Alligator mississippiensis: one gene and its partners. The protein of the gene in region 1 binds, or shares a complex with, the protein of each later gene. Links are inferred from orthologs where the notes say so. Each region holds a gene or a part of one and is shown in the gene's direction. Other genes may lie near its edges.

Region 1 (3,746 bases):
CCCGGCGCGAGGCGGGGGCACAGGATGCAGCCGGAGGGGCCGGGCCGGGCCGGGCCGGGCCGGGCGGGCGGGATGCGGAGGGCGGAGCCCCGCGACGCGGTGTCCGAGCGGGGCGGGGCGGGGGAAGGCCGGGCCGAGGGCCGCGCTCACTTACCGGGACGCGGTCTGGGTACTTGGCCCGGATCTTCGCCGACTCGACGCATCGGTGCTCTGCGAACAACGCGCGGATTAGTGCGGGGCCGGGCGGCCGGGGGGGCCTCCCGGGGGGCGCGGGGTGTCCGGCCTTACCCAGCGCGTGGTCCTCCTTGAACATCCACTTCATGGCGGCGCGGGGCCAGGCTCTGCCGGGGTCGGAGCCGGGGTCGCGGCGGCCCGGGGGCGCTGCCGGGGCTGCTCCGGGGGCGGCCGGGCCTGTCGCTGTCACAACAACAACAGCTCGGCGGGCGGGACTTCCGGCCCCCCCGTTGCCCAGCAACCAGAATAGGTTGCGGAGCTTCCGGCCCACGGTGACCGAGCAACGAGGAGGGGGCGGGGTCGCGACATCCGGGACCGGTGACGCGAGGCGGAGCCAAGCCGCGCCCCGCGGCCACGTGATCCACTTGCTAGTCCCCGCCCCCGGCGTCTGCTGTGGTGACGTTTACTAGTGGACGGTGCCGGTACTGGGCTGACACTGACTGGGCGGGGGGCGGGACTCGGGCGTCCTCAGCTTCAGGCGCTGATTCGCTGCTGGACGTAGGCGCGTTATTATTGGCCGCCGCGCACTGGCCCCGCCCAGCCGGAGCCACGCGCGGATTGGCTCGGTTAGGTCCCCGCGCGCCGGCCGCGGTTGCTATGGCGACGCAGCCATGGGCCGCGTGGAGCTGTTCTCGGAGCCCGCGCAGCGCACGCGGTACCGCGCCGGGCTCTGCTCCGCCGCCGCCCTGGGCCTCGCGCTGCTGGGCGCGCTCACCTACGTGCCGCCGCTGCTCGTGGCCTACCGCAGCCACGGTCCGCGGCCGGGCGGGGCTAGGGTCCGGGTCCGGGGGCCGGGGTGGGGCTGGGTGGTGGGACTGGGCGGGGCGGGGTGGGGTGCCCGCGGCTGCCGGCTGACGGCGCGTCCCCGCAGGACTGTGGCGCACGCAGGCCGCGTACCGCGAGCAGCCGGCCGTCCGCTTCCGCTACGAGGCGCTGCTGCTGGCCACGACGGCGGCGCCAGGCGGCGGCCTGGCCTGGAGCACGTTCCCCGCCTTCAACCGCCTACAGGGAGAGCGCCTGCGCGTCCCGCTCGTCGCGGTGCGTGTGGCGGCGCCGGCCGGGGCCGGGGTGTGCCCGGTTCCCCCGTCCGCTGTCGCCGCAGCCCGGCCAGGCCCCTGGGGTCAGGCTGGGCGCAGGCTGTCACCTGCCGCGGGTGGGAGGTGGCTGCAAGCGCTGCTCTGGGCACAGCCCGCGGGCCTGGCTCGGCTCCAGCCCCTTCCTGCAGGCCGGGGCCATGCATGCTCTTCCCCCTTGGAAATCCTTCCTAGTGTCGAGGGTCTGCCGCTGGGACCGTGCTGGCACCAGCACCAAGGCCAGAGCGTCATTAGGGTTCCTTGTTACTTGCAGACTAGAGAAGAAGATAAGAATCAAGATGGCAAGATGGACCGGTTGCATTTTAAACTGGAGCTTCCTTTGAAGCCAGAGGAGCAAGTGCTTGGCGTGCAGCTCATTCTGACTTTCTCCTACCAACTGCACGTGAGTCCCCGTCTGCCTGTAGTGCTCCTCGGTGCAGAGCCAGCGCCGGCTTCCCAGTAGCAATGATATCAATCAGCGGTTCTCAGCGTTTTTGTACAGGACCCATTTGTGAACATCGATGGCCAGTCCCGACCCAGTTGTGGGGCAGCCGCGGTTTCCCACGTTTTTTTCCTTTTAAAGGAGAATCCATTTTTAAAGCTTGTTCATTACCCTTTCATATATTCTTGTGACCCACTTTTGGTCACACATGTGACCCATGGGTTGAGGAACACTGATCTAAAGTGATAATAACAGAAAAGAGAAGTGATTGCAATACTCTAGTAGGTGAGACTTATGTTACGACTTATTTTTAGAACAGTGAATTTTCATTCTAATTCGCTTTTCCATTTGTACTCCTTTAATGTAAGGCTGTGGTTCTCGACCTTTTTGGAGTCAAGGCACTCCATGTTAGATTCAAAGCAACTTTCAGAAAGTGCCAGCTTTGAATTTCTAGTCATTTTTTGCCTATAGACAGAGCAGTTTTTCTTTTGCAAAGAACTTGGGCCACAACAGGTCAGAACGCTTTTAACACTCTGGATTCCTATTTGAAATCTTTGGGCTTAGCTTGTCAATTGTGTTTGCATGCCTAACAGCGATAACACTGTGTGGCAACCCATGGCACTCGTGAAAGGATCGTGACACCCAGATTGAGAATTACTGATATAAGGGAAGGTACATTTCCATTGGTTGATGAAACTGTCCAAACATGTAGGTTTACACTAGGTTTGCTATATCATTTTGCTACCAAGGAGGGTCCTTTAACACGTGTATAGTCACATCATAATGTTCTGTGATGTGTGGCATCATAAATATTTAATAATTTGAGAAAGGAGCCAATCAGAGCTTGGAGAAGGGCAAGCTGTAAAGTAAGAGTATTGGCCTCAGTGAAGGACTTGGATGATTCCTGAAGTTGTGTCTTAGAGCTTGAGCCCAGGTCAAACGCTTGTGATGGCATTACCAATTACTTGCATCCTCAACATAGCATGTAATCTGTTCTGCCATATTTATGAAGCTTGACCTCAGAAAGTGAGATGTTTTCCCTGGTTTCTGCTTTGTCTAGGAAAAGCGTACAGCTTACGTCTTGCAGATTGTAAAAATTCTTGCTGGAGGCTCATGAATTCAATGCATCTTTTTTAAATAGCTTTTAAGAGATTAAAATTTTAAGTAGGGCTGTCAATTATTAGGGAAGGGACGGGGCAACAAATCAAGGCCCCATGGTGAGGGACGGATTGGAGCAGAGGCTGGGGTGAATGAGGCCCCGGGGCCAGGGTGGGTTGTGGGACGGAGTCATAGGTGGCTTGTTCAGGGGCATGGGGGTGGTGCGATTCCCCGCTGCTGTGTGCTCCCCTGTGGGGAGCATGGGGTGCATGTGCCCCCCAGATTTGTGTATGGGGCAGAAATGGGCTGCAGGCTGGGGCTCTGTTCCCCCCTGCCTTTGCCCTGGGAACTGCACGCTGGCTGTGCCGCATGTCCCTTGCCCACCTGTGGTGGGAGGCACAACATAGTGTCACATGGCTCCTGGGCCAAAGGCAGCAGGCACAGAGCGTCAGCTTACAGTGGGCAGCCTGCCTCTGCCCTGTGCATAAATCTGGGGGACACATGCCTCCCCCACAGGTGTGCACAGCAGCAGGGAGCTCCATCCCTCGTACTTTATGTCCCTGGACAAGCCTCCCACAGCTCTGTCCCATGATGCGCCCTGGCCCTGGGGCCACATTCGCCCCAGCTCCTTCCCCACTCCCTCCCTCACTGTGGGGGCCTCAGTCTGCCCCTCCTGCCCCTTCCCTCTCCCCGTGGCCCCTCCCCTCCAGATTTACTTGCTGGGTGCTGCTCTACACACTGCTGAGTTGCATTCCTGTAGGGTTACCACACTTTGTTTAAAAAAAGAGGGCATTGGTGGGGAGGCAGGTGGTAATATGATTAGTGGGGTGGGGGCAGTGATATGCCCGTGCCCTACCTCTGCCCCTCACTCCCAAGCCACAGCCCTCCCCCCCAGCCCT
Region 2 (3,746 bases), on another chromosome or scaffold:
ATATGTGGGTCTATGTGTGTACTGGGAAGTGTGCACAACTGGGGGCTCCAGTACTGCAGGGCTTCTCCCCCCCCCCACGCATGCGCGCACACCCCCTCCCCCCGGGAACTCCCCTCTGGCCCCTTCCCAGCAGGTGTGAACCCCCCACGGGAGCTGTCAGCGGCCCCATGACTCCGTCCCCCACTCCTTGCAGAAAGGGAAACTGAGACTCAGGAGGGGGCGCCTGGGCTGCCCGCCCCCTCCCCCAGGTGCCAGCAGCACCGAGACGGCGCGGTGGGGGAGGGGAAGGCTGTGGGGACCCCAGGGACACCCATGGGACCCAGGTGTCCGGGGCGGACGGAAGTACATGCACTCAGGCACAAACCCCAGATGTCCAGGACACACACATACACACACACGCGTGTACAAACTCTTGAGGCATCCAGGACATAGACCCATACATGCGTGGAAATGCACTCACGCACAAGCATGCACACGTGTGCGCTCAGGCATAGGTAACCCAGGGGGCTCAGACACACACACACACTCTCGCAGATGCATGCAGAAAAAATACAGGCATCCAGGACACACACACATGCACACCTATGTGCACAGAGAACCCAGGTGTGTGGGACACACGCACAAAACCCAGGCATTTGTGGGGGACACACACATACAAACAGAACCTAGACGTCCAGGACACACACACACAATCCAGGTGTCTGGGAGACAGAGAACCCAGGCATCCAGGGCATGGACACCCCCCCCCCGCCAGGTGTCCCACACACATGTACACACACACAGAGCTCAGGTGTCCAAAATGAACACATACATGCACACATACACTATCTGGGACACACACGCGCACAAACACGCACACACATGCACATACCCACAGGCACACATACATATGGACACCCCACACACCCACCCATACATACACACGGGCACACGTGGTGCAGTGACCCCCCCTCCAGGGCCAGGCACCCCACGTGACCTGGGCAGCGGGGCCTCCTGGGGGGGCGGCACGAGCTCCCACCCAGGGACCCCGGGGCGGTGTGAACAGATGGAGCAGGGAGGGGGGTCTCCGGAGTGTCGGGGGGCGGGGCTGGGATCTAAGGGGGACGGGGCAGAGAGCATGTGACATGCCCCTTGTGTGTCTTTCCGTATGTGTGCGCATGTGTGTGTGTGAGATGCCTGGGGAGTGTGTGTGTGATAGCAAGTATGTGTGTGTGTGTGTACCAAGCAGTGCGAAAACTGGGGGCTCCAGTAGGGCAGGCTCCCCCCGCCCGGAACTCCCCTCTGGCCCCTCCCCAGCCCCGGCAGGCGGGACCCCCCACGGGAGCCGAGGCAGGCGACGAGGAGGACGATGCGGACCCGGAGCAGGGGCTCGGGAAGCCCGGGCCGCGCCAGGCAGGGCCGCTTTTGCCCAGTTGTATCACGTTACATTTACCGCGCGTGCCCGCGCCGTGGCGGCTGCACTCCGGCGGCTGCCTCAGGGCCCGGGGCCAGCTGGGGCTCCCAGGGGTCCGGCAGGACGGGGGGGGGCGGGGGCGGGACGTCTATGGCGTTGTGTCCTGGCAGCCGTCCTGGCACGTGCGCGGTCGGCACACCGCCCCCGCCAGCCCCGGGGCCGAGCCCGCAATTGCCCGCAGCTCGCGGGCGCGCGTCGTAGGCGGGGGAATACGGTAGCCGGAGACTTCGCGTCGTAGGCGGGGGGCGGGGGGTGAGCCGCCCCCGTCGCGGGGCGGGGTCCTGCGCTTGGGGCCCCCATCGTAGCACCCCGTGGGGGGGGGGGCAGCATTAACCCCTCAGGTGCCAGAGCCCGCAAGGGGGGGGCATTTGCCCATGGCGAGGGATTACCCTTCTTCCACGGGGGGGTGCTGCCATTTGCCCATGGGGGGGACTTTCCCTTGCGGGGGGAGAGCTGGTGCCAAAAATGCCCCCCTCCCCGGCAACTATGGGGGGGCAGCCCGACCCCGCGCGCGGAGCCCCCGGGGCATTTCGAGCCCGACGCCTTCACCGCTCGGGGCGGCCACGTCACTCCGGGTATGACGTCAGCGCGGGGTGACGTCACACCGCAGGGCACAGCTTGCCCCCCCAGCAGAGCGCCGGGCGTTACCCGGGGAGGGGGAGGGGCGCGGGGGCCGCCGGGAAGGGGGCGGGGCGTTGCCGGGCACCGGCCCGATGGCGGCGGCGGCGGCGCTGGTCCCGTGGCGGTTCCTGGCGCTCGTGGCCCATCTCGTCATCGTCATCGGCGCCTTCTGGGCCCGGGTAGGGCGGCTTGCACACGCCACGCGCCTGCATTCTGCACACGCATCGTGCACGCGTATGGGGACATGCACACGCATCGTGCACACGTGTGGGACATGCACACACATCACACATACGTGGGACATGCACACGCAGGGGACACCCCCACATCGCGCACATATAGGGGCACACCTTGCACACACATGAGGCGCACACTGCCTGCAATTGCAGGCAACACGTGCACACCACGCACGCTCATAGGACATGCACATGCATCATGCACATGCATGAGACATGCACACACATCACACAAACAGGGGAGATGGACATGCATCATGCACCCCAGGGGACACACCTGTGTCGTGCACACATAGGGGACGTGCAGCTTGCACACACATGGGTTGCACACTGCCTGCCACCACAGGCAGCGTGCACACACTGTGCACACTCATGAGACACCTACACGCAGGGGGCATGCCGCACGCCCATATGGCTGCACCCGGGGGAAGAGGCGCACGCTGTGCACACACACGGGCCTGGCGGGTGAAAGTGGGGGGGGGTCCTGATGCCCGGGGTCCCTGCAGCGCGGCCCCCCCAACCCGCGTGCCTCTGTCTGTGCCGCAGGAGGACAACGTCCGGGCATCGCTGCCCCTGGACCACACGCCCGAGGAGTACGGCCGCCGCGACACCGAGTGCGTGCCCACCCGGACGTACCTGGGGGGCCGGGGGCGAGAGCAGGACGGGGCTGGGAGCCTGGACACATGGGGCCTCTCTGCTTTTGGGGGGGGGTCTTGAAAGCCCCCCTGCTCTGGGTGCTGGGACGGGAGTGAGGACCAGGGGGTGAGAGCAGGGGGCAACTGGGAGCCTGGACACCTGGGGTCTCTCCAGGCCTGGGAGCTTGCCAGGCACCCAAGGGGCAGGGGGCCCGATCCTGGGCCCACCCTCTTCCTCCCCCACCCTTGCAGGCTGGTGGTGGCCCTGTCGGTGACGCTGGGGCTCTTCGCGGTGGAGCTGGCTGGCTTCCTCTCAGGGGTCTCCATGTTCAACCCTCTGCAGGGCCTGCTCTGTATCCTTCTACCTCTTTTTTGGGGGGGGGTCTCTTTTGGGGGGTCTTGCCCTGCAGCTCCGGTTGTGGCCCCTGACACCCCCCCAGCCTGCGGGGCCCACGTGGGCGCTGCCCTTGCCCTCCTCTTCGTCCTCTTCGAGCAGTGGGACAGCGCCACTTACTGGGGGATCTTTGCCTGCGGCAGGTCAGTGCCCCCAACCTCCCTTCCCCCAGACCTGGAGCGGGGAGGTCTTGTCCCTTGCCCCCCAGCCAGCAAGTGCCCCTGGATCAGGCCTGGATTGGGGCCCCCTGGAGGTGGGAAGACCCCTGCCCCCCCCCAGCCAGTGGGTGCCCCAGATTGGGCCAGCACCTCCCAGAGGTGGGAAGACCTGTGCCCACCGCCCCTGCAGGCAGTGGGTACCCCTGGATCGGGGGCCCCTGGATGTGGAGAGATCTGTGCCCTGCCATC
Region 3 (3,746 bases), about 75 Mb from region 1:
ATTTGGTTTTTAAATCAGCGTTAGAGAGAATAAGCTTGCCATAACGGATCGCTTCACTTGTATTTTGCAGCCGTTCAGTAACGCTTAGTTCAGCGCGGGATCAGCACAGCGCCATACGATTCCTGACCGAGGGACCGTACCGCTAGCACGCCCAGCCGCGATCTTGGCGGCTCTCCCAGGGAAGTCGGTACAGACGCTGCCCTGAGGCGACCCTCCCGCTGCCCCAGGCCCCTGTCATTACGTGGTTGTTACGCTCCGCGCCCAGCTCCCCCGACGGCAAGAAAACAGCGCAAGGCGGGAATCGTGTTGTGGGCCAAGCCCGCGGCCCGCTCGCCTGCCCCAAAGGGGTAGAGCCGGGAGCCCCCAGCCGGGCCCGGACCCCTCGGCAGAGCAGCAGGGACCGTGCACCCACCTGTCAGCCCGGCCCCTGAGACACTCTCCCGCCATGCCCCGCGGTGGGCATTAGCTCCTCTCCCATCATGCCCCGCGGCGGTGGAACCACTTTTCTCCCGTCATGCCCCGCGGCCCGGTGGCCCGCGGCGGCGATTAGCTTCTTTCCCAGGATGCCCCGCGGCCGCGGCTTAGCTTCTCTCCCGTCATGCCCCGCGGCGGTGGAACCACTTCTCTCCTGTCATGCCCGTGTGGCGGGGCATTAGCGCCTCTCCCGTGATGCTCCGCGGCCTCTCTCCCGTCATGCCCTGCGGCGGGGTATTAGCGCATCTCCCGTGATGCTCCGCGGCCTCTCCCGTCATGCCCTGCGGCGGGGGGGGGGTTAGCGTCTCTCCCGTGATGCCCCGCGGCGGTTGCCTGGTGACCGCGGCCATGGCGGCGGCGCTGCGGCTGGGCGCTCTGCTGCTCCTGCTCCCGCTCCCGCTCCTGGCCGGGGGGGCCGAGCCGGTCCCCAGCGCCGCCCCGCTCACGGACGGTGGGTGCCGGCGCCATGAGGAGCGGGGCCGTGGCGGGAGAGTCCCGGGCGGGGGGACAGGACCCTCCGCGGGTCTTTGGAGGCATTGGCCGCGCGCCAGGATCGGGCCCGTGCCGGGATGAGGCCCTGGGGGGGGGGCCCAGCGTCCCCTCCACCAATCTGCAGGTGCCAGGATCAGGCCCCGCGTGCGCCCTCAAGTATTTTGGTCTTGAGTTTGGGGCTGAGTTACCCGCGTTAAAAGACCAGGCTCTTGTTTATAACCGTAAGTATTGTTGTGCTTGACAGACGTGTCCTCGTGCTGCGAGCCCGCAGCCTTATTTTATGGAAACAAGCTCTTGCAGGGTGTGCACCCTCCCAGTCTACAGAAGAGGAAAGAGAGAACATGTTTAAATAAAAAAAACCCCAACAAACCAGCAGCTTTGCTTCGAGCAGCACATCAGAAAAACCTTCTCTGGGTCACGTGTGCTGGGTGGGATTGGGTGTCATCGAATACTTGGCATAAATTTTGCTAATATTCCTATATCGTTTCGACTGCCCTTTCTCTCTGCATCCCGTGTCACGATCGTTATTTGGCATTTCCAGCCCGCGCGTTGGGCTCGCGAGCAATACAGATTCATTGGTCGTTTGCTCCTAGCAGATTAACGGCTGGAGAGGAATTATTTCTCTTTAAAAGTAACCCCATGGCTTTTAAAAAGGCTAACATCTGAGAACTTGCATAGAAGCGTCCAGGCAGCGTGAAGAGCGGGTGCTAGGGAGCGCTGTAACCACTAACCTCCAGTCCCGAGTGTGTTTTAAATGTTCTCTCCAGTTGCGAAGCTGTGCGTCTGTAACCTGTTGGTGGCACAGTGTGACATCAATTGCTGCTGCGACCCAGATTGCGGCGCCGCAGACTTCAGCCTCTTCACTACGTGTTCAGTTCCTGTTGTCACGTAAGTTTATAAATGATTATAATTCTTTCAAGTTGAAATTACAGAACTGTGTTACACTCCATTGAATTCTGTAAGAAAATGTCCTTTGATCTCAGCGGGTGGAGGCTTGGTTCTGCAGTTAGTTTCGGCCGTCTGTCTTTACAGCCAAAGGACGTTTCCAAGGAGCGGGAAGATAAAGGTCTCTTGAGTTGAGAGACAAGGTTCCTTGGGTGAATTTGATATCTTTTATTACACCAACCCAAATAGTTGGAGAATAGTTATTAAGCAAGCCTTTGGGTTCAGAAACCCTTCGTCAGGCTAAGGAAGTTTCAGCAGTCGGTGTGTGCTCTTCCTGGATGGAAGTGAGTTGTGATATTTTCTGCAGTAAGAGAGAGCTTTACATTGTAAAAGGTCCCTTTTGAGGAGCATGGGGATATTATCAGTAGTTCTGTGGGGTAGCACCTTTCTTCACTAAAGCATAGGGCTGATACTTAAACTCCTACTGTTGCCTTCGGATTGATTCCAGCCTACACCTGACATGAGGATGAGGTGATGTAGCGTCCACCCGTTATCGTTTCGGGTGGCTACGTGAGACAGGCTCGGGAACTACACGGATTTCACTTAAGTTAGTATGCCGTTCTCTGTGCCTGGGGCTAGGTCCGTCTGCTCGGATGGGAGACCTCCGCAAAAAGGTTGGGCTTGAAACGGGCTGCGTTTGATTTCTGTGTCAAAACAGACTCAGTGTCTTGGCACAGGGGTGTCAGGCATATAGCTCGCGGGCTGGATCAGGCCCACCAGTAGTCCAGCCGGCTGGGGAGTGTGGCCTCCCACACAATTTAGGGTTCCTGGACCCCAGTGGACATGGCTGCTGGCAGCAGGCTCCCAGACCCACACTGCTGCCTGCCCCCATGCTGCCACCCGAACACAACCCCTGGCTCCATATTGCCGCTTGAGTGCAGACCCACGGCAGTTGTTGCTGGCCTGGTGAATCCAGCCCTGAAGTAGCTCCTGCAGTCTAGATCTGTCCCAGGACCTGGGTAAATTTGAACCGTGTCTTAGCATAACAGATCACTACTGGTCTACCCATGATAGTTTGAAAACCCTGCCTATAGGAGTTATAATCATGTTAACCAGAAACATGAGAGAATCAGAGCCATCGTTAAGTACCATGAGCTGATCTTTGTTCTCTTTAGGAGCAAGCATTCTTTCTCTCCTCTCTCCAACAGCCTTTGGAAGCTATAGAGTAAAATATTAAAATATATTCCAAAAATCAAGATAATTGTACTGACCATTGTTTCCTTTTTGCGCAGTTATAGTCCATTTTAGTACATACCTTTTGTATAGACTTCAGCTTCTTAAACAGGAATTAACAAAGCTCATTTTAGACTCAATTCAAAATAGCTCCATGTGACTTCTCGGAACAATAAGTATAGCTCTTCAGCCCACTTCCTGAATAAATTACCCCGATTTGAGTGCTGGTTCCTGATTCTTTGAAATTTGCATCAGCAGTCACCTAGGACTGCTGTTTCTCATTGTTCTTGCACACAATGCACATTGCTACCTATTTATAGGTATTTATATATATTTCAGAAAGGTCTAATAATGAATTTCTGAATGACAGTTTAATCCCCGGCTGTGAATATTCTGGGCCTGTTAACTAGAAAGGCATAAAATCAAGCAGTATATTTTTTTGGCCATTGAAAGGATTTTCAATGACCATGAGTGGTCAGGGCTTTGGTATTACGTGGCACTGCACATGTAAACAGCTGTGTTCCTGCAAGGATTGTAGCAGATCGTAAGATGAAGTGATCTTTGCGACCCTAAAGAACAGACAGTTATCATTTGTGATGTGATCTACCTTATAAAGCTTACGACTTCCTGCCTACCAGGTCAAGTCAACTTAGAATCACTTA

The links.
Region 2: TMEM231 (region 1) and TMEM107 share a complex: the UniProt entries of both Homo sapiens proteins name them as parts of the tectonic-like complex. The link is inferred for Alligator mississippiensis from reciprocal best matches to the Homo sapiens genes TMEM231 and TMEM107.
Region 3: TMEM231 (region 1) and TCTN1 share a complex: the UniProt entries of both Homo sapiens proteins name them as parts of the tectonic-like complex. The link is inferred for Alligator mississippiensis from reciprocal best matches to the Homo sapiens genes TMEM231 and TCTN1.

Annotation. Positions count from the first base shown.
Region 1 is NC_081833.1:77,757,197-77,760,942, forward strand, and holds the start of TMEM231 (transmembrane protein 231), read left to right. Parts: upstream 1-830; 5' UTR 831-845; coding exon 846-987; intron 988-1,105; coding exon 1,106-1,272; intron 1,273-1,581; coding exon 1,582-1,710; intron 1,711-3,746. Other genes in the region: GABARAPL2 (gamma-aminobutyric acid receptor-associated protein-like 2), read right to left, coding at 155-210, 289-322. UniProt on the Homo sapiens protein: Transmembrane component of the tectonic-like complex, a complex localized at the transition zone of primary cilia and acting as a barrier that prevents diffusion of transmembrane proteins between the cilia and plasma membranes.
Region 2 is NC_081838.1:25,053,112-25,056,857, forward strand, and holds the start of TMEM107 (transmembrane protein 107), read left to right. Parts: upstream 1-1,125; 5' UTR 1,126-2,166; coding exon 2,167-2,253; intron 2,254-2,856; coding exon 2,857-2,924; intron 2,925-3,197; coding exon 3,198-3,298; intron 3,299-3,385; coding exon 3,386-3,482; intron 3,483-3,746. UniProt on the Homo sapiens protein: Plays a role in cilia formation and embryonic patterning. Requires for normal Sonic hedgehog (Shh) signaling in the neural tube and acts in combination with GLI2 and GLI3 to pattern ventral and intermediate neuronal cell types.
Region 3 is NC_081833.1:3,218,517-3,222,262, forward strand, and holds the start of TCTN1 (tectonic-1), read left to right. Parts: upstream 1-931; 5' UTR 932-940; coding exon 941-1,187; intron 1,188-1,733; coding exon 1,734-1,854; intron 1,855-3,746. UniProt on the Homo sapiens protein: Component of the tectonic-like complex, a complex localized at the transition zone of primary cilia and acting as a barrier that prevents diffusion of transmembrane proteins between the cilia and plasma membranes.